Callithrix jacchus: one gene and its partners. The protein of the gene in region 3 interacts with the protein of the main gene of each other region in a pairwise test. Links are inferred from orthologs where the notes say so. Each region holds a gene or a part of one and is shown on either strand. Other genes may lie near its edges.

Evidence for each region.
Region 1: the proteins of UBE2I (region 3) and NMI interact in a two-hybrid assay, tested with the Homo sapiens proteins (3 studies listed by BioGRID and IntAct). The link is inferred for Callithrix jacchus from reciprocal best matches to the Homo sapiens genes UBE2I and NMI.
Region 2: the proteins of UBE2I (region 3) and DDX39A interact in a two-hybrid assay, tested with the Homo sapiens proteins (3 studies listed by BioGRID, with this or other methods). The link is inferred for Callithrix jacchus from reciprocal best matches to the Homo sapiens genes UBE2I and DDX39A.
Region 4: the proteins of UBE2I (region 3) and SETBP1 interact in a two-hybrid assay, tested with the Homo sapiens proteins (2 studies listed by BioGRID). The two-hybrid records come from large-scale screens. The link is inferred for Callithrix jacchus from reciprocal best matches to the Homo sapiens genes UBE2I and SETBP1.
Region 5: the proteins of UBE2I (region 3) and FMR1 interact in a two-hybrid assay, tested with the Homo sapiens proteins (2 studies listed by BioGRID and IntAct). The link is inferred for Callithrix jacchus from reciprocal best matches to the Homo sapiens genes UBE2I and FMR1.
Region 6: the proteins of UBE2I (region 3) and AGTRAP interact in a two-hybrid assay, tested with the Homo sapiens proteins (2 studies listed by BioGRID and IntAct). The two-hybrid records come from large-scale screens. The link is inferred for Callithrix jacchus from reciprocal best matches to the Homo sapiens genes UBE2I and AGTRAP.
Region 7: the proteins of UBE2I (region 3) and ZHX1 interact in a two-hybrid assay, tested with the Homo sapiens proteins (2 studies listed by BioGRID and IntAct). The link is inferred for Callithrix jacchus from reciprocal best matches to the Homo sapiens genes UBE2I and ZHX1.

What each region holds. Positions count from the first base shown.
Region 1 is NC_133507.1:79,062,588-79,066,854, forward strand, and holds the start of NMI (N-myc-interactor), read left to right. Parts: upstream 1-1,467; 5' UTR 1,468-1,526; coding exon 1,527-1,700; intron 1,701-4,267. UniProt on the Homo sapiens protein: Acts as a signaling pathway regulator involved in innate immune system response.
Region 2 is NC_133523.1:13,199,756-13,203,710, reverse strand, and holds the start of DDX39A (ATP-dependent RNA helicase DDX39A), read left to right. Parts: upstream 1-1,155; 5' UTR 1,156-1,285; exon of another isoform or gene 1,286-3,480; intron 3,481-3,955. UniProt on the Homo sapiens protein: Helicase that plays an essential role in mRNA export and is involved in multiple steps in RNA metabolism including alternative splicing. Regulates nuclear mRNA export to the cytoplasm through association with ECD.
Region 3 is NC_133513.1:3,569,106-3,572,605, forward strand, and holds part of UBE2I (SUMO-conjugating enzyme UBC9), read left to right. Parts: intron 1-1,091; 5' UTR 1,092-1,102; coding exon 1,103-1,168; intron 1,169-1,356; coding exon 1,357-1,440; intron 1,441-2,655; coding exon 2,656-2,728; intron 2,729-3,500. UniProt on the Homo sapiens protein: Accepts the ubiquitin-like proteins SUMO1, SUMO2, SUMO3, SUMO4 and SUMO1P1/SUMO5 from the UBLE1A-UBLE1B E1 complex and catalyzes their covalent attachment to other proteins with the help of an E3 ligase such as RANBP2, CBX4 and ZNF451.
Region 4 is NC_133514.1:87,688,399-87,692,419, forward strand, and holds the start of SETBP1 (SET-binding protein), read left to right. Parts: upstream 1-1,221; 5' UTR 1,222-1,477; intron 1,478-1,999; exon of another isoform or gene 2,000-2,134; intron 2,135-4,021.
Region 5 is NC_133524.1:144,482,037-144,486,295, forward strand, and holds the start of FMR1 (fragile X messenger ribonucleoprotein 1), read left to right. Parts: upstream 1-1,459; 5' UTR 1,460-1,655; coding exon of another isoform or gene 1,656-1,706; intron 1,707-4,259.
Region 6 is NC_133508.1:49,632,902-49,636,401, forward strand, and holds part of AGTRAP (type-1 angiotensin II receptor-associated protein), read left to right. Parts: intron 1-713; coding exon 714-819; intron 820-1,966; coding exon 1,967-2,162; intron 2,163-3,500. UniProt on the Homo sapiens protein: Appears to be a negative regulator of type-1 angiotensin II receptor-mediated signaling by regulating receptor internalization as well as mechanism of receptor desensitization such as phosphorylation.
Region 7 is NC_133517.1:74,119,159-74,122,658, forward strand, and holds part of ZHX1 (zinc fingers and homeoboxes protein 1), read left to right. Parts: intron 1-684; 5' UTR 685-909; coding exon 910-3,500. UniProt on the Homo sapiens protein: Acts as a transcriptional repressor. Increases DNMT3B-mediated repressive transcriptional activity when DNMT3B is tethered to DNA. May link molecule between DNMT3B and other co-repressor proteins.

The DNA of each region.
Region 1 (4,267 bases), on a different chromosome or scaffold from region 3:
AATGCCAAAGGGGTTCTGGGGTGTTATATAGCAGATCATTTATGCTGAGAGCTTTTATTACAGGCTCTTAGGAATATTGGCATTGTCACAATAATAAAAATAAAGAAGCAATTAAATAACATTGCAGTTTCTCTCTTCTGAAATGTAATAAGAGGACTTCATATGCATGTGATGTCCTGAGTACAACAAATACTCAAACAAGATAATACATAATTCTCTAAATAGAATGTTTTCAGTGTGTAAGTTTATATGGAGAAAGTGCTCTGAAGGTCTGCAGGGAGGAGTAGACATGGTCCCAGCCCTCAACATCTTTAATGACATGTCATGGAAAATGACACAGGTACAAACATAATTAAATCACCACAAAAGGGATAAAGGATGGGGAGTAACATACTTTTGGGGAACAGAAAAGGCTTCAGAAACTTGGGGAAAATTTGGAATGGACCTTGAAGCACAGTAAGATTTCATGAGATGATGATTAAGGTTGGGAGAGGAGGAAGGATGTGAGAATTTGAGGGACAGGAAAGAAAAGGAACTGTCCAAGTGTTCAGTGTGGTTAGGAAACTGGGTTGAGGAATTGCCTAAGGCTAGAAAGTGGGTTGGAGTTAGGATGTATCAGACCATGGCTGACCACTGTTAGGAAGATTCTGCAGTTGTTGATATAATAGTGATCTATATGTACATATGTATGTATGTGTATGTCTGTGTGTGTGTGATGTGGTTTAAAAAATATATATATATGTCATCTCAAACTTACAGAAAAGTTGCAAGTACAGTAAAACAACTTTTCTTTTTCCTAAATTATTTAAGAATAGATTTCCAATCTGATGACCTATCACCCTTCATTATATAGCTGAGTATATATTTCCTACAAAAAAGATATAACCACAATACAGCCATCAAAATCAGCAAATTAGTAGAGCTACAATACTACAATTTAATAATCAGATCCAATGTGAATTTCACTAAGGTAGGTGGCTTCTGGAAGCTGGAAAGGGGATTCATCCCAAGAGTTTCCAGAGAGAAAGGCAACCCTGCCAACTCTTTGATTTTAACCCAGTGAGACCTCAGTAAGACTGCTACAGAATCCTAAAACAGTAGAGTGTGTGTGTGTGTGTGTGTGTGTGTGTGCCTATGTGTTTAAGTCACTAAATCCATGTAATTTGTTATGGCAGAGAATAAAAAAACGAATACAAATCATTATCACTGTATTTCCCTAATCAGTCATACCACTGTGGTGCCAGGCCGTGTAGAATCCAATCTTCCTATAAGCGTTCCTGGCAGTAAAAAGAAAGAAAGGTGATAGAACGTCTGCCTGTTGTACATACAGACTGGAAACAGTATTCCCTTCGGATGACTCCTTTAAAAAAAACCTTGCCTGTTCTGCAACGCGAGCCATGACTGCACAACTCTGCCCCTGCCAAGAATCATTTTCTTAAGAAATTTGTTTTCCTAAGAGTTATCTCTAGAGACACTCCGAGAAAACAGCGAGGAAACACAAATTATTTTATGTTTCAATTTCCTGAATGAAGCAAAGCAAACAAGGTGCGAAGCAAACAGGGTTCCAAGCCCTGACGGCCCAGAGACTGCACAGCGGGCCCAGAAGCAGGAGCGCCCCCTCGACGGGCGGCGTAGCCTCTGCGACGCGGCTGCGGGCAGCTCCGGGAGGAGGATCTCAACCCCAGTGTTGCCCCACTCCGGTAGGCCCTGCCGTCCCCCGCCTCCCTTTGCGGATGTCTTGAATAGTGTAGGGGTCTAGGGGAAACTTCCCCTTTGCTCTTTGAAGGGCAAAGGCAGATTAAATAGGAGAAATAGCATATACATTTATTAATGTGCACGGGGGAAAAAATCACAGTAATTATACTACTGTACAATGGGGTACAGATGGTTATATTCCCTACTTTTTAGGAGAAAGGGAGATTGGGAAGTGTGGATGATTATAGGGTTAGTAAATGGTTTTTAAGGGAATTCAAGGGACTTGAAAAACATACAGTGGCCTTGGACAAAGCCTGTTGGGCTTGCAGAGCAGACAGTGGTTGTAACAAAAGTCTCTCTAGGTTTGTTGACGGACTTCGGACTTCTTTCTGTGATATGAATTCAGTTAATAAAAACTCAGGGGGCCGGGCGCGGTGGCTCACGCCTGTAATCCCAGCACTTTGGGAGGCCGAGGCGGGCGGATCACGAGGGATCGAGACCATCCTGGCGAACATGGTGAAACTCCGTCTCTTTTTTTTTTGCCAATCTCTTTGAGCTTATGAGGTTGCTCAGTTTAGCCTTGAACTCATGACCTCACCTTCACAAGCGCCACGACCTCCGGCGGGAGCCACTTTGGCCCCCAACTCCGTCTTTACTGAAAAAAAATACAGGCCGGGCGCGGTGGCTCAAGCCTGTAATCCCAGCACTTTGGGAGGTCGAGGCGGGTGGATCACGAGGTCAACAGATCGAGACTATCCTGGTCAACATGGTGAAACCCCGTCTCTACTAAAAATACAAAAAAATTAGCTGGGCATGGTGGCGCATGCCTGTAATCCCAGCTACTCCGGAGGCTGAGGCAGGAGAATTGCCCGAACCCAGGAGGCGGAGGTTGCGGTGAGCCGAGATCGCGCCATTGCACTCCAGCCTGGGTAACAAGAGCGAAACTCCGTCTCAAAAGAAAAAAAAAAAAAATACAAAAATTAGCTGGGCATGGTGGCTTGTGCCTGTAGTCCCAGCTACTCGGGAGGCTGAGGCAGAATTGCTTGAACCCGGGAGGCGGAGGTTGCAGTGAACCGAGATCGCGCCACCGCACTCCAGCCTGGCCCCTGACGACAGAACGAGACTCTGTCTCTAAACAAACAAACAAACTCAGGGAAGGGACTAGAGGTAATTGTTTTGTTTTCCGGCAGGTCCCAAATTTAAGCAGATAAGAGAATCAGTGCACCTTCGTCTGGTGCTTTGGGAGAGACAGAGGAGGAGGGGGAGGTCAGAGAGACCTTGAGGCATCTTCAGTTCAGCATGTCAAAGTGCCATACTTCGGGGTATCAGTTTCTGAGCCCCGGTGATAGCAGAAGGATCCAGCTCAGAATCATACTTTGTATTCAGTTGTGACGTCTCTTTAGTCTCAGTGTGGACATTTTTTAGTCTTTCCTTGGCCTTCTGAACTTGAAACTTTTGAAGAGAACAGGGCAATTGTATTGAAGAACATCTCGATTTGAGTTTGTCTGATGTTTCCTCATGCTTAGATTCAGGTTATGCATCTTTGGCAGGACGATCATCGAAGTCACGTTGTGTTCTCAGTGCATCCTGTAACATGTTACATTATTTTGATTTATTCCATCATTTACTTTGATTATCTCATTATGTTGATATCTGCCAGGTTTCTCCAGTGTAAAGTTACTCTTTTCCTCTTTGAAAGTAATAAACACTTTGTGAGCTGGGCGTGGTGGTTCACGCCTGTAATCCCAGCGCTTTGGGAGGCTGAGGCGGGCAGATCACGAGGTCAAGAGATCAAGACCATCCTGGCCAACATGGCGAAACCCCGTCTCTACTAAAAAAGTACAAAAAATTAGCCGGGCGTGGTGGTGCATGCCTGTAGTCCCAGCTACTCGCAAGGCTGAGGCAGGAGAATTGCCTGAAACCGGAAAACGGAAGTTGCAGTGAGCCGGGATTGCACTACTGCCCTCCAGCCTGGCAGTAGAGCAAAACTCTGTCTCTATCTCAGTAAACACTTTGTGGGGAAGAATTTTGAAGATCACTAAAAATTCCGTTCCTCACCAAAATTTCTAATTTATCTGGATGTAGTTTTCTACTTTAATCAGCAGATTTAATCAGTACTACCATTATCCATTTTAATCTTTAATTTTTTCCGCAGATTTGGTCACTGAAAACCATCTCAAGCTGGATTCTGTGTCCTTTTGACATGTTGTCATCATTCTTTAAGCATTTCCTTGCTTTTTGGTGTCATAAGATGTCCCAGGCTCATCTTGCAGTTTTTCTGTCCTGGTTTTGGGATCAACCATTTCTCTAAAGAGTCCTGGTTCCTTCTAGTGGAGAATGGTATCAGAAACCAAAGTCTGGGTGCTGAGTGTGCTCATTGCTCATTGTGGTTGTCTCTGCTCTCAGGCCTTCTCAGCAGACAGAACTGGGGTATATATGTATTTGTATATACACAAAATACATACATAGGTCTATCTATCTATCTATCTATCTATCATCTATCTATCTCAATCATCTATCAGAAACCACAGCTGCAAGATTACATTGAAATCTAGTTCCAATCAACAGTATT
Region 2 (3,955 bases), on a different chromosome or scaffold from region 3:
CTTTGTTGAGGCCAGGCATGGTGGATCACGTAATCCCAGCACTTTGGGAGGTTGAAGTGGGCGGAGCACATGAGGCCAGGAGTTCAAGACCACTCTGGCCAACATGGCGAAATCTCGTCTCTACTAAAAATATGAAAATTAGCCAGGCGTGGTGGCGAGCGCTTCTAGTCCCAGCTACTTAGGAGGCTGAGGCAGGAGAATCACTTGAACCTGGGAGGCGGAGGTTGCGGTGAGCTGAGATTGTGCCACTGCACTCCAGCCTGGGCGACAGGGCGAGACTCCGTCTCAAAACAAAAAAAAATTGTTGAGCAAAAGTCAGACACAAAAGACAACTCTACTTATGTGAAATTGAAGGAGACAAAGCATCCTGTGGCAATAGGAAAATAGTACAAAATGTCCTCTCCACTTGAGTCATTCCAAGCTCCCTGTTTGTTGTTGTTGTTGTTGTTGTTTTGAGACGGAGTTTCGCTGTTGTTACCCAGACTGGAGTGCAATGGCACTATCTTGGCTCACCGCAACCTCCGCCTCCTGGGTTCAAGCAATTCTCCTGCCCCAGCCTCCAGAGTAGCTGGGACTACAGGCGCGCCACTAATGCCCAGCTAATTTTTTGTATTTTTAGTAGAGACGGGGTTTCACCATGTTGGCCAGGATGGTCTCGATCTCTTGACCTCGGGATCCACCCGCCTCGGCCTCCCAAGTGCTGGGATTATAGGCGTGAGCCACTGCGCCCGGCCACTCCCTGTTCTTTTCAGAGCTTTCACAAAGGAGGATCACCAGGCCGCACATTGAAAGCAACTCCAACAGTTGCGGTTTCGGTTGCTAGCGCAAAAGCCGCGCTTTGAGAGGGTGGGGCACACGCCCTGGGGCAATCTGGTCTTCAGTAAACATGGCGGCACCCATAGAGCGCCACACCCAGATCACCAGACCGCGCGCAGTCGGCGCTCGTCTCGGTCGGCTCACTGGGGCGCGCCTACTTTTAGATTGACCAATGAACGGGAGGCGTAAGGCATGCCCTCTTTCTTTCCCTCTCCACCAATAATCTCCCGGTCCCTTCCACAGGACCCAATCACCGCTTCGGTCTCTCTTGAGTGAAAAGGCAGCGGCCCAGTGAGCAGAGCTGTAGTCTGACGCAAGAGGCAGGAAGCGCGGCAGCTCGTGCGTGAGCGCCCGCGGATAACCGAAGTCGGAAGGCGCTCCTAGCAGCACGCGAAGAACGGGAAGTCAGGTGAGCGGCGGATCCCGGGCGCGGGGCCGCGGTGTGGAGACGTCTCGCCTAAGAACGGGAGTACGAAGGGAGACGTTGGGAGCTAAGGAGAAGAGGAGAAGGGGTCGCGAGACGAGGGGGTCGGGGCGGTTGGGTGTCTGGCGCTGTGTAGTGGCCGTTGGGCACCGGAGCGCATGTGCAGGGTCTGGGGCCGACCGTTGGTGCTCAAGTTTCGGGGCCCGCTTCCGGGAGAGGCTGTCATGGTCCCCTCCGCTCAGAACTCTACTTAAAGTCTGCCACTCCTTCCGAATAGACCGCGCGGCGGCCTGGGGCTGTTTGGAGAGGGACGAGGGGGAGACGCCGGGGTCTGGGGCCTGGTGGGAGAAGTCTGAGCTTCCAGATGTCAGGGGTTTCTTTGGGTCCGAGGGACTTCCCCCTTTCCCAGTTTTCCTTCTTCTTAATTCTATTTTTACGGGATTCGAGATGCTGAGATTTAGGACAAATAAGATTTTCTTTTGGAAGTAGGAGTCCCCAGTAGGGAATAAACTCCGGGGTGGAAAGCCAGCCTGTCTGGGGACACTTAAGGGTAAATGGGTACACGTGGCGTGTCTGGATTGTCAGTTCCTTGCTGTCACATTTCAAGTTAATCCGCTCCTGGCGCCTCCGCGGTCACGGCCACCCACTTAGGCGGGGAAAACCCCTCCACATCCTTTCCTGGTCTAATCTGTTTTGAGCTTTAGATCCTGTCCATCCCGCTTTCTCGAAAATTTTGTATTTTAACAAACTTAATTTGTCCCAATTTTTCTCTTTTTTTTTTTTTTTTCCTGAGACAGCCTTGCTCTGGCCAGGCTGGTCTCGAATTCCTGACCTCAAGTGTTCCAACCGCCTCACCTCAAAGCGCTGGGATTATAGGCGTGAGTCACCACGCCCAGCCCCAGTTTCTTTTTTTAAATTTCTTTTTCTTGAGAAAGGTTCTTTCTCTGTCACCCAGGCTGGAATGCCATGGCGCCATCACGGGCAGCCTCGACCTCCTGTCTCAAGCGATCCTCCTGGCACAGCCTCCCAAGAAGCTGGGACTACAGGCCCGTGCCACCACACCCGGCTAACTTTTTTAAAACATTGTTTTTGTATAGACGGGGTCTAGACTTACTGTCCAGGTTGGTCTCAAACTCCTGGGCTCAAGCCATCCTCCCACCCTGGCCTCGCAAAGTGCTGGGGTTATAGGAGTGTGCCACCATGCCCAGTGTATTTCCTTGAAATACACCATATCTTGGCCACCTAGATTTAGAGCCCATCGTAGACTGTGGCTCTTCTTTACCCATGGATTGCTCAGGGGATGGTCCTGTCTTGTGGCGTGTCCCACCCTTTCCTTCCCTACCTCGCTCTCCTATCTGGTTACTTCTCTTTCATTTGGTGAGGAGTTTTCCCTGCTGCTGGTCTTAACCTCCCACTTTATCAGTGGAGTAAATTACAGTACTCTTGGGCAGATCCTGATGAGTCACTCAACTCTGGCTTAATTAGTAATTCCCCATTGCTTAACAAATTAAGTACACATGCTCTGGCGGGGTGTGGTGGGTTGCTGATGCCTGTAATCCCAGCACTTTGAGAGGCAGAGGCCGGAGGATTGCGTGAGTCCAGGAGTTCATGAGCAGCCTGGGAAGCATGATGAAACTATGTTTCTACTACAGATAGAAAAATTAAGCATGTGGTGTGCACCTCTAGTCCCAGCTACACAGGAGACTGAGGTGGGAGACTTACCTGGGCCTGGGATGTTGAGGTTCCAGTGAGCTATGATCGCACCCCTACACTCCAGCCTGGGTGACAGAGCGAGACCCTGTCTCTGAATAAGAAAATAAAAAGTACCCAAGCCCTGTGCCCGACCAGCTCCTCAGCTTTGTCTTCTGCCCTGACTTCAGCCGGCTAGTCCTACTCTCCATACCCCAAAAGGCTCTGGTGCTTTTTGGACTGACCTTTCTTGGGTCCTGTTCTTTTCCCTGCTGTCTGGGAAGTGGCCCCTTCAGATTGCCTGTTTGAAGGGTCAGATGAAGAGAGATGCTCAACTCTGCCTTAACGCCTTTATTCTAGTTCCATTTACTCAGCCGTTGCTAGAGCGCTTATCTGCTGTTGTAGACACAGGGCAGGGCTGACTGGAAGCGGTGCTTTTCTAGTTGGGGCTGCAAGGAAATGTCGTCCTTTCGGAGCAAAGGAGGCCCAAAAGAAGTCGGGGATTTGTGACCCTTCCAGACAGCAGGAACAGCAAGGGCACAGGTGCTGAGGTGTGTTTGAGAGACAGCAGCAAGGCTGGCGAGTGAGGGGCAATGGGGGAGATGAGGTCTGAGTATACAGGAGCTGGGTCAGGAGGGGCCTGGTAGGCTGGGTTTGTGGGGACTCTCGAGTTTTTTTTTTTTTTGAGCATGGTGGGAACCCATGAAAAGTTTTGAGCTGCATAGTGATGTGCCCTTAGGGTTTTTTCTTTTCTTTCCTTTTTGAGACAGAGTCTCATTCTGTTGTCATGCTGGAGTGCAGTGGCACAATCTCGGCTCACTGCAACCTATGCCGCCCGGGTTCAAGCGATTCTCTGCCTCAGCCTCCCAAGTAGTTTGGATTATAGGCGCCCACTACTGCATCTGGCTAATTTTTCATATTTTTGGTAGAGACGGGGTTTCACCGTGTTAGCCAGGATGGTCTTGATCTCCTGACCTCATGATCCGCCTGCCTCGGCCTCCCAAAGTGCTGGGATTACAGGTGTGA
Region 3 (3,500 bases):
CCTCCACGGGTCCCACACCATCCAGGTCACCAGGGCCCTTGTGCCCACCTAGGACGGCCCCCCTACAGCGTAGAAGGCCTGGCGGAGTCCTCAGCTCCACAGAGGTGCCCCCCTTTGGTGCTGAAACACCAGAGTTGAGGGCGGCTGCAGCGTCCCTGTGGACTTTGCTAACCAGCACACACTTAGGTTTCGATTCTCCAGCAAGTCGGTAAACAGAGTGCTGTTTCCGTGAGTAAAGGTGGCCACCAGCAGGGTGACCGTCGAGGGTGGCGTTGAGGCTGCGGGCCCCGCCCCCTGGTGTCCTCAGCGCCAGGAACATCTCCCTGGATCTGCAGCCCTCCTGCGGCGACAGTGCGGTCCAGCATGCTCCCACCTAGAGCCATAAGGCAAAGGTGCCCGGCCCCTGAGCTCCCATCCAAATGTGTGCCACTTCGTCTGGCCAGGGATCTGGTCCCCTATGCCGAGCTCTGCTCTGCCCGGCAGGACCCGGCTGTCCCCTGAAGCCACAGGTTTGCGGTAGTGGCTGTGGGGTCTGGGAAGGGTGGCCCTGTGGGGGCTCCTCCCACAGCAAGTCTGAGCCTCTGCCCTCTGGTGCTTCTTCCGTCCTGTCTTCAAGAATAACAGGAGTCCACTGGCCGATGTCTCAGTTCTGAGTGCCCAATACTAAGTCAGGGACCCAGTACCCCACACACACCTGGGGACCCAGCCCTGCCTATTCCCCACCTGGTGGTGTGGTGGGGACCCTGCCATGCCAGCCACCACAGGGTGGCAGCTACCACCTAGTCTCTGAATGTCTGTTTTGTCCCCATGGAGCAGAGGCCACACCATGTGCCACAGATGGGGGCATGGTGGGGGTGGGCACAGGGAAGGGATCTTACCTGCCCCCCACCCCGGCAGGTGATCTGGGAGCCACTCACAAAGCCTCCCCTGGTGGACCCCAGGGTTGGACAGCGGCTTGCAGAAGAGTCCTGCTGAGCTGGGCCAGCAGGTGTTGGAGCAGGTCCACCTGCTGCGCGCCGGTGTGCGCGTGATCGGGCAGCAGGAGCCTGCGTCGCCTCTCCTGATGGCGTGCTCTGCCTCCTGTGTTGCAGGGACTCTGAACATGTCGGGGATCGCCCTCAGCAGACTCGCTCAGGAGAGGAAAGCGTGGAGAAAAGACCACCCGTTTGTAAGGAGAGCTTCATGTCCGTGTGCAGCGCAGTGGGCAGTCTCCCGGGTTGAAACTGTCACGTCCCTGCCGGAAGGGAGCCGGCCACGTGCCTGTGCCCAGCCACTGGGACTCACAGGCGGGTTCTCGGTGATCTTGGTGAAATGATGCCACCGCGCTGATGGGCTTTTGTGATTGTTTTCTCTCAGGGTTTCGTGGCTGTCCCAACAAAAAACCCCGATGGCACGATGAACCTCATGAACTGGGAGTGCGCCATTCCAGGAAAGAAAGGGGTAAGAGGCGCACGCTGCCGGCCTCCGCCTGGCGGGGCCCAGCACCACAGGGAAACCACTCAGATCCCTGCCGTCCGTGACAGCCATCCTTGTCACAGGTCAAATCCCAGCTCTGTCCTGGCCCCTGCCCCATCGGGACGTGAACGCAGAAGGTGGGACTGGCAAGGTTTGACAGCTGTATCCCCTCCCAGGGCAGTTCTGGTTGAGAAGGAAGCAGGCTGGCACCTGGCCGGGCACAAGGCTGAGCTGTGGCAGCAGGGAGGGGCTCTGATGTGTGTTGGGAACGCAGAGCTGCACAGGCGAGGTTGAGAGCAGGTGGAGAGGCAGGAGTCCTTCAGGATTCGGCTGCGTCCTTCAGCGTGTGGCTCAGCTTTCGGGAGCGGGTTTGTAGGGGGAGCCAGCCCTGCGTAAAGCCGCCTCCTGGAGACCCCCCAGGGACCGGCGGCGTCTGCCTGGGCGTCCTGCTTGGGGACCCCTGTGTGTCCCTGGCAGGCAGCACAGCCCATGTGCCTGTCTTCTTTGGCCCGCGCACGTGAAGCGCCTGGCCGGGGACTCCAGGCTGCGGTGCACGTGCAGTTCATGCTTGTTGATTCCGAAGGGAGCGGAGAGACCCCTGAGGTGCTGGTCCTGCCTAAGGCCTCGTTCCCTCCGGCTCTGGCCCCGCTCTGGGTTTCTGTGAAACTCAGAGCAGCTCTGGTCCCCTGAGCTCAGCAGCCCCCAGGACTCTGCCTTGCCCGAGACATAGCGTGGCTTGGGTTCGTCACTTGTCCGAGGCTCTGATGAGGACGTCCTTGCCCCTCACGTTAGGGCGAGGCTGGTGCACAGCGCCAAGGAAGGTGGAAGGTGGTGTGGGGTCGTGGGCGGCAGAGGTGCCTCGTCCAGGCGGGATGGGGGTGGGTGCTTGGGAACACCCCTGGGGTGAGGGCAATGCTGTGCTCTTGGTGCCCTTGTGCCAGCCCCAGTGTGCGGTGCTCTGCCCCCAGCCCGGCCCCCACCTCCCGCCTCCACTCCTTTCCAACTTACTCTGGGCACAGCAGAGGTCCTGACAGCCCTCTTGTTGAGGCTGTTCCAGGCTGCAGGCTGGTTTAGGAGCTACCTCTGTTGGGCCTCTGGCCCCTGGTGTCCTGGGGGCTGTGCCTGAGAAGCAGGCCCCTTCCTCCTGGGCCGCCCTGTGCGGGCGAGCAGCTCATCTCACCACGGTTTATTTCCCATTAGACTCCGTGGGAAGGAGGCTTGTTTAAACTACGGATGCTTTTCAAAGATGACTATCCATCTTCACCACCGAAATGTGAGTACCTCGCCATTCAGTGCCCTGGAAGGCACCCCTGGCTGCGGCCGTGGCGCCCTGGGCTGGGTGGTCTGCGTGGAGCTGGGAGGGAGATCACAGACCGGGAGGTCGCCTTTGATTCTTGATCCCGGCTGGGCTGCAGATTTGAGTCTGTTTCCAGCTCCGGGGCCGGGCGGTGCACACAGTAGGTTTAGTCTTGTCCTGGCTAATGGGCTGGGAAGCTCCAGAGTCTTGTGCACGGAGGGACTGAGAGCCAGGCCGGAGCTCCTGGACTGGGAGTGCCTGGAGCCTCACTGAGGACAGAGGACTTGGTGACCGCACGACCCTGCCCTGGATGGATGGATGTGCAGAGGGACTGCCATGCAGTCTCACCCTCTGAGGAGTTCTGTCGGTCCACCTTCTTACTGCTCCTGCTGTGTGGTCTCTTACGGTCTGTCCCCACCGTGGCTGCGTCTGCAGCCTGAGCAGGTATAGAGCAGGTGACAGCAGAGGAAGCATGGGAAGAAAGGCTGTGGCCAGGCCCCAGATCCTGCCCATAGCTAAGCTGATGACCTCAGCCAGCCAGTGCAGCAAAGCTCAGGAGGGAGGAGAGGGCCGCCGGGTCCCCGCCCTCCCATAGCTGGCAGTCGGCAGGTGGTGTCCAGTGAGTTCCACGCGTCAATGCACCCAGCACCTAGAGAGCGCCTGGCCATGGTGAGGCGACAGTTGAAAAAGCTTTCCCCTGTGATTGTCAGTCGAGGCACACAAGCATTCCACCGTGGCACCCACCCTC
Region 4 (4,021 bases), on a different chromosome or scaffold from region 3:
GCATACAAGTCGCTTAATAAAAGAAATATAAAATAAAATAAAAAAAAACAAGCCCCTGAAAGTGAAATGTAATTACCAGGTTAAAAAAAAAAAAAAAATGCGCCCAGTTTCGAGAGCCTATCACAGCTCACGCCTGGGCGCCATTCCCCCCGACACTGCTCCTGTTGTGTCAGATAGTGGCAGTGTTGAGCCCAGGACCCGCGCCGAGCCCGCCGCGCTCCCCGCTGCCGCTCAGTCTTCGCGGCGGACTCAGGCGCGCAGGAGCCACTGGGCCGCGAGGGCTCCGGGGAGCGGGAGGGGCGTAGGGTGGGGGCGGCGAGGGGTCCCGGATCGCTGTCCACGAACTGTTCTCCTTTTCCCCGGGGGAGAGCCCCGCTCCCTTCAATTGACAGAAATTCACCGGGGCAGGGGGGCGGGTCGGGAGAGAGGTCGTTCGCGGCTGGCTACTGGCTGCGCCTCCCCCGGCTCCGGTCTCCGGGCGAGCAGCGTGGGCACCGGCGCCCCCTGCGAGGAAGAGCGCCGGGTGGCGGTCCCCGCTCGGCTGGGCCGCGCTGCCGCTCCGATCCTCCTCCCTCCCGCGCCCGCGCCCGCGCCCTCCCCCTTCCTTTTACTAGGAGTCCGAGACTCGGAGAGGGCGCCGGAGGCAAGCACACGGGCCCGACCCCACTCCAGCGCTCGCCGGGGACGCGGGCGGGCGGCGACGGGACGCGGCGGGGGCGCGGGGCGGGCGCGGCCATGGAGCGGCGGCGGCGGCGGCGGCGGCGGCAACACTAGCGACCGCGGGCGGACAAGCGGGCGGGCAGGGCCGCCGGGCGCTGCGGACCCAACTGCACAGCTCAGCAAAAGCGCCCTAGCCCTCCGCGCGCCGCCTCCTGCGAGCCCAAACCCTACAACATTTTTAACGCTCCAATCCATCCTTTGAAGAAAAGCAAAAAAAAAAAAAAAAAAAAAAAAAAGCCAAAAAAAAAAAAAAAAAGAAAAAAGCCAAAAAAAAAAAGCATTGATCGGAGAGACGGGGAGATATATATATATATATATATATATATATATATATTTATATATATAATTTTTTTTTGGCTCCTGCTAAAATTAGCAGGGCTCGCCGCGCGCCTGTGTGCGAGTGTGTGTGCGTGCGGGCGTGTGTGTGTGAATGTGATTACTCCAGGACTCCTCGGGCTCCGGAGACGCCATTTTCCCCCTTGATATCTCTCTCCATAAATCGGTGGCGCGGCGGAGGCGGCCGAGTCGGGCGGGAAGCGCGGGGCCGGCCGGGGCGCCCGCCGCTCGCCGCCGCCTCCGCGCGCCCTGGGGCCCCGGCGCCCCCCGAGCTAGGGCGGCCAGCCCGCGGCTCGCCGTTTGACAGATGCTCATCGCCATGGAGTTGCCGCAGCAGCACCTTTGGGGGCTCGGGCGAGCGACGGGAGCCGGGATCTGAGCGAGCGCCGGGGCCAGCGGAGCCGGAGCCGCCGGGACATGGGTGAGCACGAGCGGCGACCTTGGCCCGGGAGTCCAGGAGCCCAGCCTCCCTCCCCTCCGCGCCGCGGGCCCCCGTACGCCAGGAACCGGGGGCGACGTGTGTGCCCTGCATGCAAAAGTTCACGTCGCCTTGCTGGGTCTTTGACTTTGCACCGAGCGGGAAGGGGGAGACCGGGCCGAGGGGGCGGGATGCCGGGCCGGGCTAGGTGGCCGGAGATGGAAGCGATTCCGGCGGGCCGGCGGGTGGGCGGTGAGGCTGGCTCAATTGGAGTGGCTCGTTGGTGGCAGCGATGGTGGAAGCTTTGGGCTGGAGGGCTGGGAGCTTATTGAGTTTCGCCTAATCTGATCTCCCCCCCTTCCCCCGCTCGCCTTTTGCACCCTCCCTCGGTCCTGCCGCCGGCTGGCGGGGCTGGCGGGGCTGGCGGGTTTGGCGTTGGTGGAGTGGACTCGGGAGGGGGAGGGGGTAAGGAAAGGGGTGGGAAGGCAGGATTTTTTTTTTTTTTTTTTTTTTTTTGCTCTCTTTGTAACTTGCAGGTTAAGTGGAGCTAGAGAGCTACATTGTAACCTAGTTGGATTTTTTTGGGGGGGGAAATGTATCAGAATCTAACGTGTCGTTAATAGAAAGAAGAACAGGCAAGAAGTGGTCCAGCCGGCGAAGGTTGGTGTGTGCTTGTGTTGTGGCTGTGTGTTAGTCTTTTTCTTAAAAATCTTAATCAATGGATTTGAGTCTCTTTCTTATGCTCTCTGGTTTTGGGACTCTGAAGAGATAGGAATTCCCTTAAAAGCAGACGAATGCCTTTTTGAAAGCACGCATTGTGTGCGTTTCTAGAGGAGCCCTGGGCTTGGGAATGAACGGCAGGCTTCCCCGTTCGGTGGTTTCCAGTGGGAAATCACTCCGGAAAGGGAAGCCTTCGGTATCGATTTATTGTTTTTGTCTTCCAAACCATTATCTCTTTGACCAAAATACTGTCTGAGAAGTTCCACAGGGACAAAGTCAGGTAAACTGGACCGGGCAGATCTTTAGCAAGATGGTGATAACGGGGATGCTGTTTTCAGTGTCTGTTTGTGATGGAAGCATTGTTGGGTAATAGCAATTTCTGATCGGTAGAGCATGCTGGTTCTAAAAAAATAAGTTAACTGCCGAAATACTGTCTTCCAGCCCCTCTCCCCTGCACAGTACAGCACCTATTCCCCCCGCCCCCCCCATCCAGACCGCTTACTACAAGTCTGAAATAGGATCCAACTGGAAATATTTTCTTTGGAGATTGAAAGTTGTACAATTGGAAATAGGAGATGAGGCTAGAGGTACTGGGAGTGTGGAAGGGGAGTTCTTATTGCCCCCTGATGCTGCATTTATTCTTTATGTGTGTCTGAGTTGGATTCTCAGGGTGTGTATCTGTCTAAAAGGACTGTTGTGGGAAGGATTTCCGATTCGTTTCCGTTTCAAATAAACTGTCCTGATAATCTCACGGTTGACATCTAACGCTAAAAGGGCAATTTGTGTGTCTCTTTATCCCTGCAGAAACTCTCCTTCAAAAGGCCAGTTTATTCTGGACTTCTACAGCAGAGTCCTTTCCCTTCCAGCCCCTACACTCCCCCTACCTCCTGCCAAATATCCACACCTTTCAAACCTTAAAGTTTAGTTGGAGTCCACAAGGTTTCTAAGGAAATACTGGTATTACTTGTTTTTCTTTGACATCTTTTTCCTTCTTTTTCTTTTCATTCCTTCACTCTTTATCCTGTTTTTCTTCTTTTTCTGTATATTTATACTAAAAAGTAATTTCTTGAAGTTTCTGTGCTGTCACCAAAACTATCTGGCAATTTGGCACCATCTTTTACCCTCCTTTAGTATATAGGTATATCTCCTGTGCCCCATCCAAACTCATCTTCCTGTACAAAGCATGTGTGTGTTGTGGGAAAGAGGGGATGGGGTAGAGAAGAGTCTTTTGGAGAGGAAGGGTGGTGTTGAGTGCAGGCCACATTTGCAACACTGGACCAGACATAGCTGGGATGGGAAGGCGGAGCCAACAGGCCAGGGGTGTGTGAGGGAGGAGAAAGTTTGTAGTACTGTAAGATGTAGCCAGTTTACAATCCCAGGTCACTCCCCCTTTTTCCTTATTTCTGTGGCTTCTACCATCCTTAAACTCCCCGAGAGGCGTGAGCTCTTTTGCTCTGGGATTCCCAGGTTTCAGAGCGAAGGTGAAGGTGCTGTGTTTTCACCTGTGCTTAATTTCATTGCCTGTTGCCAGAAAAGGTTAAGACAGAGTGTTTTGAGAAAGTCGGAAGAGGAGGAAGAAAGAAATCAAATGTGGTTAAACAGAGTATTTGCAGGCTACAGGGAATGTAGCCACAAAAGATACGGAGACCAGGTACCCAGAGTGTTGTTGCTTGGCACAGGATCTCTTCTCCCCCATTAAGGGAAAAAAAAAAAACAAAACAAAACAAAAACAAACTATTGGTCTTGGGAAGAGTTGGTGTCAGACCTGGGCTGTGGGAGTTGCTAGCCACTACAGTAACCTGAGCTGAGCTGGGGGAGGAGGTGGTG
Region 5 (4,259 bases), on a different chromosome or scaffold from region 3:
GAGATTCTCTTTCAGCCCTATTGAAGTCTTGGTCTCAAGTGACTACTCCAAAGACAGTAGTCCAAAAAGGTCTTTCCTGTTTACTATGGCCTTGAGGAATGTGGCCCTAAATCCACCGCTTTAAAGCTGACATTCCACCAGCACCAACATCTTCTCATTCTGGGGCACCTGCCTGGGGCAGGTCATCCTGCCTCTGCAAACTCAGTGCTACAGTTAACTCTCACCTGCCATATTCCAGCTGGAATCATTCCCGATTCTCCACCCCAGACTGGGTCATGTTATGTCATCATGGATGCACCTATTCTTCGTAGCCCTTATCACAGCTGCAACTCCTCATTTACTTGCCAGGATAATTTATGTCCATCTACTTCTCTAGGTTCCAAGTTCAATGCTGGCAGTCTTTTCTTTTCTTTTTTTTTTTCTGTTTTACTCACCAATTTCTCGCTAGCACTGAGCACAGTGCCTGGCACATGATAGGTGCTCCATAAACTTCTCAGCTGGATACCAGCATCCCTAAGGAAACATGGATCAACGCAGCTATAAGCACCGTGCAGAAACAGGAATAAGAAAAAGGTGGGCTTTGTTTTAGAGTAGAAGGTAAAGGGTTGCAAGGAGGTGCAACGGCCCCTGTAGACAGGACCCATGACTGCCACACATACGTGCACCCCGACACAGGGTGCACATACAGTAGGGGCAGAAACGAACTTTAAAGACATTAAGAAGTGCTTAACACAATTTTTTAAAGTGTGTCAAGTGAAAGCACGAAAATAAATTGAGGAAAGGCAAGTACATGGGTCAAAGCTGGGTGTGAGGAAAGGCTAACATTTTGAGGTCCTGACTCAATACACTGTCCCTGAAAGGGCCCAGGATGTCTCCACAGGAAAGCCCAAAATCTGGTGAGAGAGGGCGTGACTCTTCACCCTCTGCCTCTATGGGTCTCGAAAGCCAAGGTCACCCTGGTTGCCACTGTTCCTAGTTCAAAGTCTTCGTCAATCTACTCCTTTACCCTCATTCTCGCCTTCCACTCCACCTCCCGCTCAATCAGGCTCTGCGCTACTTTGAATCAAACCAAACCAGACATGCCCCCGGAATCCTAGTGAGGCCAATGGGATAACCGGATGCAGTTGATTTCACACGACACAGCATGCACCTTTGCAGAAATGGGAGTTCTGACCCTCGCGAGGCGGTGCGACCTGTCACCGCCCTTCAGCCTTCCCGCCCTCCGCCGAGCCCGCGCACGCCCCGCCCGCGCCTCTGACGTTCGACCCGGCACTCCGGCCCGATCCCAGCAACGCGCATGCGCGCGCGCCCTGGCCACTGGAAGCGAGAGGGCGGGGCCGAGGGGCTGAGCCCGCGGGGGGAGGGAACAGCGTCGATCACGTGACGCAGTTTCAGTGTTTACACGCGCAGCGGGCCGAGGGTTCGGCCTCAGTCAGGCGCACAGCTCCGTTTCGGTTTCACTTCCGGTGGAGGGCCGCCTCTGAGCGGGCGGCGGGCCGACGGCGAGCGCGGGCGGCGGCGGTGACGGAGGCGCCGCTGCCAGGGGGCGTGCGGCAGCGCGGCGGCGGCGGCGGCGGCGGCGGCGGCTGGGCCTCGAGCGCCCGCAGCCCACCTCTCGGGGGCGGGCTCCCGGCGCGAGCAGGGCTGAAGAGAAGATGGAGGAGCTGGTGGTGGAAGTGCGGGGCTCCAATGGCGCTTTCTACAAGGTACTTGGCTCCAGGGCAGGCCCCATCTTCGCCCTTCCTTCCCTCCTTTTTCTTCTTGACGTTGGCGGGGGCAGGCCCGGGGCCCTCTACCCCAGCGCCGCGCCTGGGTGCCAGGGCACGCTCGGCGGGATGTTGATTGGGAGGGAAGGACTGGACTTGGGGCCTGTAGGAAGCCCCTCGAGCTCCGCTCCGACTCCGAGAGGCCCTAGCGCCTAACGGGATGAGAGACGAACGAGGACAGGGTTCCCTTTCGGCGCTGAGCCCCGCCGGGGTGAGCTGGGGATGGGCGAGGGCCGGCGGCAGGTACAGGAGCCGGGGCGGGAAGGGCCGAAATCCGCGCTAAGTGACGGCGACGGCTTCTTCCTTCTTTCCTAAATATCTTCTCCCAGCGGGATCCGGGCCTGACGTGTGGGTAGTTGTGGAGGAGCGGGGGGCTCTTCAGCCGGGCCGCCTCCTGCACTGCCAAGAGGGTTTCAGGTCTCCTTTGGCTTCTCTTTTCCGGTCCAGCATTGGGACTTCGGAGAGCTCCCCTGCTCTGGGCGAGGGCTGTGAAGAAAGAGTAGTAAGAAGCGGTAGTCGGCACCAAATCACAATGGCAACTGATTTTTAGTGGCTTCTCTTTGTGGATTTCGGAGGAGATTTTTAGATCCAAAAGTTTCAGGAAGACCCTAACATGGCTCAGCAATGCATTGAAGACGTTGATCATCGTGAATATTCGCGCCCCCCCTTTTGTTAAACGGAGTAAATTCAGGAATGCACACGCTTCAGCGTCTAAAACCATTAGCAACTCTGTTACTTAAAAATTGTGTGTGTGTGTGTGTGTGTGTGTGTGTGTGTGTAAGTTTCCAGAAACCTAAATATATGCCATGGAACTTCAGGAAATTAACAGAGAGTATATTACTAGGGCATTTTTTAAACTGAGCAAAAATATTTTTGTGCCCTTAAGAACTTGACCATATTTCCTTCGAATTTGTGGTGTGGCAGTGGACTGAATTGTTGAGGCTTAGGGATCCATGGGTGTACTGTGCTTTTTAAAGTTACACCCTTGCAGATCAACTAACACCTTTCATTTTTAAAAGGAAGATTTACAAATTTGATGTAGCAGGAGTGCGTTTGTAATTCTCATTTCCTCTTGAATGTCTATAATCTCTGTAAATAATATTCCACCTTACTACAGTATTTTGGCAATAAAAGGTGCACGTGGAAGGAAGCATGGAAAATAGGTATTACCAGTGTCCAACACAATTCTTAAATTTATTAAAAAACGACTTCAATGTTTCAAACATGACAAGTTTGGTTAGGAAAATAGACAATTTGACTTTAATATATTCTGGGTTTACCAATTTTATGAAGACATTTGGAGATCAGTATATTTCATAAATGAGTAAAGTATGTAAACTGTCCATACTTTGAGCACAAAGATAAAACCTTTCACTGTAAAAGGAGGCACAAAGTAATCCCACGTTTCTGTTCTTAACAGTCTCACGAATATGCAGTTGTTTCAGTTGACTCTGCAGTCAAAATTTTAATTGCATTGATTTTATTGATCCGTATTTTTTTCTGGTGAGTTTGCGTAGAATGGTTCAGGGTCCTAGAGAGTTTGGTCACTAGATTCTGCCACTAATAACTGTATATACGTATATATATATGTATGAGTAAGGGCTAATGGGTAAGCAGGATTCTGATTGATATGTGATATCAGCTTAGGTTGGATGCCACTAAAGGTTGCTTACCACAGAGGGCAAGTAGCACATTCTGGCCTTGAAGTACTTATTGTTCTCTTCCAGCCACTTAGGATTTGCTCCAGTGATTTTGCTTGCAAACTGACTGGAATATAAGAAATGCCTTCTCTTTTTGCTATTAATTTCCCCCTTTTTGGGTTTTGTTTTGTAACAAAGTTGTTTAACTTGAAAGTAAATGAAGAATAGATTGGTTGCCCCTTAGTTCCCTGAGGAGAAATGTAATACTTGAACAAGTGTGTGTCAGAGAAATTGCTGTTATATTTATTTAAGTTTGATTTCTAAGAAAATGTCAAATGGTCTGCACTGATGGAAAAATGGTTTCTGTAACAAAAAGCTCAAAGTTTTTATATGACTTATAATATTACTGTGAGTTATAAAAGTAAAGCCAAAGTAAACTGAGTTGCTTGTCCAGTGGGATGGACAGGAAAGATGTGAAACAAAAACCAATTAAAAATGAACTACAATGGAGAAGTGTTACATTTATGGAAAAAGAAATAGGAACCTTGTTCAAATTGATAGAAAAGCTTTGAAAACGAAACAAATCAAACAACTTAGGTATAATTGAATTCAGACTTTGATTTGCTTAACATAACCACCATATTTCCTCTTTTTCTGGTGTTTCTTCTTAAAAACTTAAGTTAGATTTAGTAATCACCGGAGCCACTACTTTTAAGCTTAGGTATTTGACTTAGAAAAAGTTGGTCACGTGTACCACTTACAGAGCCCTGCTGGTGCTATTTAAGATATGAAGACACTTTGACTTACACCTCATGAAATCTTTACAAAGTGTTTTCTAAATGCATAATGATGA
Region 6 (3,500 bases), on a different chromosome or scaffold from region 3:
TCCAGCCTGGCTGACAGAGCGAAACTCCGTCAAAAATAAATAAATAATAGTTAGAACCATGCCAGGTACTAGCAAGTGCTCTGTGTTCACTATGATTTTGATTGGATTGACAAGTGAACAAATCAACAATGTCAGTTAGGCAATACCCTAAATGGTAGAATAGGGTGGGCCTTGTGTTAGGAAAGTGACGAGGTCGTACTTAGCATTGGTGGGTGAGGGAAGGAGTCTCAGAGTGAACATTCAAGCTGCTGCTCAATGACAAAAGGGGGGCCAAGTGTCAGAGTAGAGGGCGCCCACTGTACGGGGCTGTGGCTGGGAGGTCAGGGAGGGCGGGGCTGGGCCCGGGGTCCCACGGGCCCCTTAAGCCCTGGTGAAGAGTCTGCATTTTATTCCAAATGGGATGGAAAACTGTTGGAGGATTTTTAGCAGAGGATTGACAGCATCTGACTACACTACCAGTTGCTATTTAGAGAACAGAGTGGCAGTCAGGAGGCTGTCATCTGGCAGGAGACGGAGGTGCTTGGGACCTGCAGGGACACAGCCAGATCCAGGGTCTGGGTGGGAGGCGAGCCCATGGGATTTGCTGGCACATAGCCAGGTGGCCTCAAAGACTAAGGTCTGTTCTGGGAGGAGGCCCTGAGACCCCTGGCACAGGAGGGAGGTGACCTGCGGGTTGGTGGCCACCTGATGGGACTAAGCTGCTTCTTTGACAGGGGCTGCATCGTGTTCTCGGGCTCCTATGCCTGGGCCAACTTCACCATCCTGGCCTTGGGCGTGTGGGCTGTGGCTCAGCGGGACTCCATCGACGCCATAAGCATGGTGAGCCAGGGCGGGGGCCGAAGCACAGGGCGACACACGGCCTGGCTCTGCCTCCCTGTCCCATCCCAATCTTCCTTCTCTTCCTGGGGCCACCACTGCCTGTTGTCTAAAGCCTTTTTCTTCAGCCTCCCGGGTGTCAGCCCATGCCTGTCTTTGGGAGCGAGCATGCTACTCTTCTTGCCTGGCTTAGAGAAGCCCAGGTCTGCCATTATCTCCCCCAGGAAAGCCAAGGGGTGCCCCAGATTGGCTTCTCTGCAAGAGCAATGGAGCATTCCCTATAACCTGCCTCTGGGGCTCTCTTTTAGGGGAGAGGACATGGAGACCCAGCCAAGGGGGCACGCCACTACTTTAGGAAGGAGAGGTGACCCAGGCCGACCGAAACTTCCCACAGGGGAAGCTTCTTAGCACCCACCAAGCCCCGTGGGGCAGCGTGCACCCCCTGCACCGGCTCTTCAAGCCTTGGCCAGGGCTCGGGGTGACTGAGGAGTGAGAAGGGATTTCCTTTTTCTTTTTTTTTTTGTTCTGAGACAGTCTTGCTCTGTCGCCCAGGCTAGATTGCAGTGGTGCGATCTCAGCTCACTACAACCTTTGCCTTCCAGGTTCAGTGATTCTCCTGCCTCAGCCTCCCAAGCAGCTGGGACTACAGGCATGTGCCATCATGTGCGGCTAATTTTTTGGATTTTTAGTAGAGATAGGGTTTCACCTTATTGGCCAGGCTGGTCTCGAACTCCTGACCTCATGATCTACCTGCCTTAGCCTCCCAAAGTGCTGGGATTACAGGCATGAGCCACCGTGCCTGGCCCTGAGAAGGGATTTTCTTCGTGTTGGAGACAGACTGGGTGAACAAGGAACCTTCCTTTATGGAGGTTCTAGAGCCCAGTCTTGTGCCCATCATGGTCTTAGAGGTGATCGAAAATGGGTAGGGAGGGAGGCTCTGTGGAACCGAGACCTGAGCCCCCTGCGTCCCTGCCCCTAGACTGCAGTCTCAGCCAGCCGCTCCCCTGTGAGTCCTGCCTGCTTGCTTGCTCAGTTTTCCAGCAAGCCCCAAGGACACAGTAGGGCATGAAACAGCTTCGCATCTGGTACATGGTGGGGAGCCACGGGACACGGCAGGGCTCTTGTGCTCATCAGTGCCTGTGTCTTGCAGTTTCTGTGTGGCTTGCTGGCCACCATCTTCCTGGACATCGTACACATCAGCATCTTCTATCCGCGGGGAAACCTCACGGACACGGGCCGCTTCGGCGCGGGCATGGCCATCCTCAGCTTGCTGCTCAAGCCGCTCTCCTGCTGCTTCATCTACCACATGTACCGGGAGCGCGGGGGTGAGCTCCTGGTCCACACTGGTGAGGCCACCACCTCTGGCCAGCTCCCCACCACTCCCTTCTCTCCCTTGCCTGGCCCCCAGGCTCTCCCCCAGTGAGCTGGCCTTACCCCATGGGGCCAGCAGGAAGAGCATGGCATGGGCACTCTGTACCAGGCTGGAGGAGTCCAAGCTCCTGGTCTCTGCTGCAGGAGCCCAGGGGTCCCCTGACTGTCCTGGTCCGCTGCGACCTTCTCCTGCTGTGAGGCTAAGGCTAGGCCCTTCTCTCAGCCTAGAGCACAGGCACAGCTGGGGGTACCATTTAGTTCCCAGGGGCAGCCCTGGGCTATCTCCAGCATGAGGGCCACCGGCACCTACAGGTCTCCTCTCTGTTCTCACCGGGCCCCAACACTGGAACCCCATTTCCTGCCACGTGGGGTCTTTCCTCTCCTGCGGCAGAGATTGTGCTAGGTAGCCAAAGGAGAGCCTGCTCTAGCGTAGGCTGTGTGAGCCTCAGCGAAGACGGCCCTGAACTGTGGGCACTCCCCGTACCCACCAATCCCTCCCCACTCGCCCATCCTCACCCTCACCCCGCCCTCTCCCATGCCCTTTCCTGTACCCCTTCTGCTGGTGGCCGAGCTGTTTGCCTGCTCTCTGACACCTCTGTCTCTCCTTTCTCTTTGAGAGGAGTGGAGGGAGGTTGTGGGGTGTGGCCTTCTACCTTTCACTCCTGAGAAGAGAGGCCTCAGGTGGCCTGTGACTGCCACCAGCTGGTCGAGGGTAAGAATGGCCTGGGGCTGCCCCCAGGGAAGGGGTGCCAGAATGTATCTCCCATTGGACAGATGAGGAAACTGAGGCCCACAGCCCTTGGGACGTGCTCAAGGTCTCAGGATGAATGTGCAGAGGAGGGGATGAGAGTGAGGAGTGTGGGGTGTTTGGAGCTACAGTCCTGCCTTGGACTCAGCCCCAGCCTCCAAGGCCATCTGGATACAGTAATGTGGTGTCCTTCTGCCTGAGAGGGGAGCTGGAGAGGAGTGTGTGGGCCCGGGGCTGGTGTCCCTCTGCCCAGGTTCCTGAGCACTTGCTGCCTGAGGAACCACCCCATGGCACAGTGGCCTGGAGCCTGGCTTTGGGCTTGGCTGCCTAGGCGTGGGTCGCAGCATCATCGCTTCGAGCTGTGTGATCTCAGCAAGTCAGTTCATCTCTTTGACCCACTGTTTCCTCATCTGTAAAGTGGGGATGATACCTGCTGCAAGGAGTACGGGAGGATTGAATGAATGATACACGCTAAAAGCTTAGTGCCTGGGGCTGCTGCCTCTGTCTCTGTGGTGGTGTCAGGATGCCTGGCCCCAGGGTGGCAGGGGTAGATCTTGCCTTGGAC
Region 7 (3,500 bases), on a different chromosome or scaffold from region 3:
TTGCTATACTTGAAGCATGCTTTTGGCTGATGAGATAGATCAGTAGGAAGAAGAGGATGTAACTAATGGATTAAATTTCTTTCTTTCTTTCTTTTTTGAGATGGAGTCTCACTCTGTTGCCCAAGCTGGAATGTACTGGCACAAGCTTGGCTCATTGCAATCTCTGCCTCCCAGGTTCAAGAGATTCTCCTACCTCAGCCTCCCAAGAAGCTGGGACTACAGGCATCTGTCACCACGCCTGGCTAATTTTTGTATTTTTAGTAGAGATGGAGTTTCACCATGTTGGCCAGGCTAAATTTCTTATATGCTTATTGGCCATGATAGTATCTGTGAATGTTTTTTATAGTGTTAAAGCTCCTCCCTTGTTAATGTTGCCACTTCACATTAATAATAGGGTGCTTGCCAAAGCCGGTCGTTTCTCCCTTGTCTTTTAATATATAGCTGGCAAAAAAATTCAAATAAATAATCTTGTGTCTGACTCAAGGTAAAACACTTAACCTTCAATGAGTTGGCTTGAAAACAGCTATTTTGATCCTTAGAGGATATTTTTCCTGATTCTTACCTTATTCTAGATCTTTATAACTGAGCTATCCAGCAACTTCATATAAGTGAACTGTAACTATAATTTGTTTAAAAGATCATAGTTACTCATTTTAAAACATTTTTAAATTTATTTTAATGTAGGTGATTGGAGTTGTGCTTCAAAAATTTCAGCAATTCAGCAGTATTTTATCTGCCAACAATAAGCTCTTTACTTGATTGCACCATGAGAAAGCTGCTAACGAGACTTCTTGAGCACAAAAATGGACTTGAAGAACCAAAAGCCATTGTTTTCAAATGAAGAACACTGAACAGTTTCAAGCCTCGATGCTTTTTAATCACCACTGAGCTTCTCCTCATAACATCAGAATGGCAAGCAGACGAAAATCAACAACACCTTGCATGGTCCTTGCCAGTGAACAAGATCCAGACCTTGAGTTGATATCAGATTTGGATGAAGGTCCTCCTGTACTTACACCTGTAGAAAACACCAGAGCAGAGAGTATTTCAAGTGATGAAGAAGTTCATGAATCTGTGGATTCTGACAATCAGCAAAATAAAAAAGTTGAAGGCGGATATGAATGTAAATATTGTACTTTTCAAACTCCAGATCTAAATATGTTTACTTTTCATGTGGATTCAGAACATCCCAATGTAGTGCTAAATTCATCCTATGTTTGTGTCGAATGCAATTTTCTTACCAAAAGGTATGATGCACTTTCTGAGCATAATCTGAAATACCACCCAGGAGAAGAGAATTTTAAGTTGACTATGGTCAAACGTAATAACCAGACAATCTTTGAACAAACAATAAATGATCTGACTTTTGATGGTAGTTTTGTTAAAGAGGAGAATGCAGAGCAAGTGGAATCTACAGAAGTTTCTTCGGGAATATCTATCAGTAAAACTCCTATCATGAAAATGATGAAAAATAAAGTGGAAAACAAACGGATTGCAGTTCATCATAACTCAGTTGAGGATGTTCCTGAAGAGAAAGAAAATGAAATCAAACCAGACCGTGAAGAAATTGTAGAAAATCCAAGTTCTTCAGCTTCTGAATCTAATACAAGTACTTCCACTGTAAACAGAATACATCCAAATACTGCCAGCACAGTAGTGACACCAGCAGCAGTTCTTCCTGGATTAGCTCAGGTGATAACTGCTGTATCTGCCCAGCAGAATTCTAATTTGATTCCCAAAGTCTTAATCCCTGTTAATAGCATTCCCACCTACAATGCTGCATTGGACAACAACCCCCTTTTACTTAACACCTACAACAAATTCCCTTATCCAACAATGTCAGAAATTACGGTTCTTTCTGCTCAAGCAAAATATACAGAGGAACAGATCAAGATATGGTTTTCAGCCCAACGTTTAAAACATGGTGTTAGTTGGACTCCCGAGGAAGTAGAGGAGGCAAGAAGGAAACAATTCAATGGAACGGTGCATACTGTACCTCAGACCATAACTGTTATTCCTACACAAATTTCTACAGGGAGTAATGGTTTACCATCTATTTTACAGACATGCCAAATAGTTGGTCAGCCTGGTCTGGTCCTTACTCAAGTGGCTGGAACAAACACCTTACCAGTTACAGCACCTATAGCCTTGACAGTGGCAGGGGTTCCAAATCAAACTAATGTACAGAAAAGTCAGGCACCTGCTTCTCAGCCTACTGCAGAAACAAAGCCTGCAACAGCAGCAGTTCCAACTTCTCAAAGTATCAAACACGAAACTGCATTGATAAACCCTGATTCTTTTGGCATTCGGGCAAAAAAGACAAAAGAGCAACTGGCGGAATTAAAAGTTAGCTACCTTAAAAATCAGTTTCCCCATGATTCAGAAATTATCAGACTTATGAAAATAACAGGCCTCACGAAAGGAGAGATTAAAAAATGGTTTAGTGACACAAGGTACAACCAGAGAAATTCAAAGAGTAATCAGTGCTTACATCTCAACAATGATTCCTCTGCCACCATTATTATAGACTCCAGTGATGAAACCACCGAATCCCCTACTGTTGTTACTGCACAGCCTAAGCAATCCTGGAATCCTTTTCCCGACTTTACTCCCCAAAAGTTTAAAGAGAAAACTGCAGAGCAGCTTCGTGTCCTTCAGGCAAGTTTTCTCAACAGCTCTGTACTTACAGATGAAGAATTAAATAGGTTAAGGGCACAAACCAAACTTACCAGAAGAGAAATCGATGCTTGGTTTACAGAGAAGAAGAAATCAAAAGCTTTAAAGGAAGATAAAATGGAAATAGATGAAAGTAATGCAGGTAGTTCCAAAGAAGAAGCTGGAGAAACTTCTCCTGGAGATGAATCTAGTGCACCTAAGTCAGGGAGTACAGGCAAGATATGTAAAAAAACACCTGAGCAGCTGCACATGCTTAAGAGTGCATTTGTCCGGACACAGTGGCCATCACCAGAAGAATATGACAAGTTGGCCAAAGAAAGCGGGCTTGCTAGAACAGACATAGTTAGTTGGTTTGGGGACACACGTTATGCTTGGAAGAATGGAAACTTGAAATGGTATTACTACTATCAGAGCGCCAATTCAAGTGGTATGAATGGTCTATCTTCCCTTCGGAAAAGAGGGAGAGGGAGACCCAAAGGACGGGGAAGAGGAAGACCGCGTGGGCGGCCTAGAGGAAGCAAAAGAATTAACAACTGGGACAGGGGACCATCACTCATAAAATTTAAAACTGGAACTGCAATACTTAAGGATTATTACCTGAAGCACAAGTTTCTTAATGAGCAAGATCTCGATGAACTTGTTAACAAATCACATATGGGATATGAGCAGGTCAGAGAGTGGTTTGCTGAAAGACAGAGAAGATCAGAATTAGGTATAGAATTATTTGAGGAAAATGAGGAGGAAGATGAAGTTATTGATGACCAGGAAGAGGATGAAGAAGAGACAGATGATAGTGACACTTGGGAACCCCCTCGACATGTGAA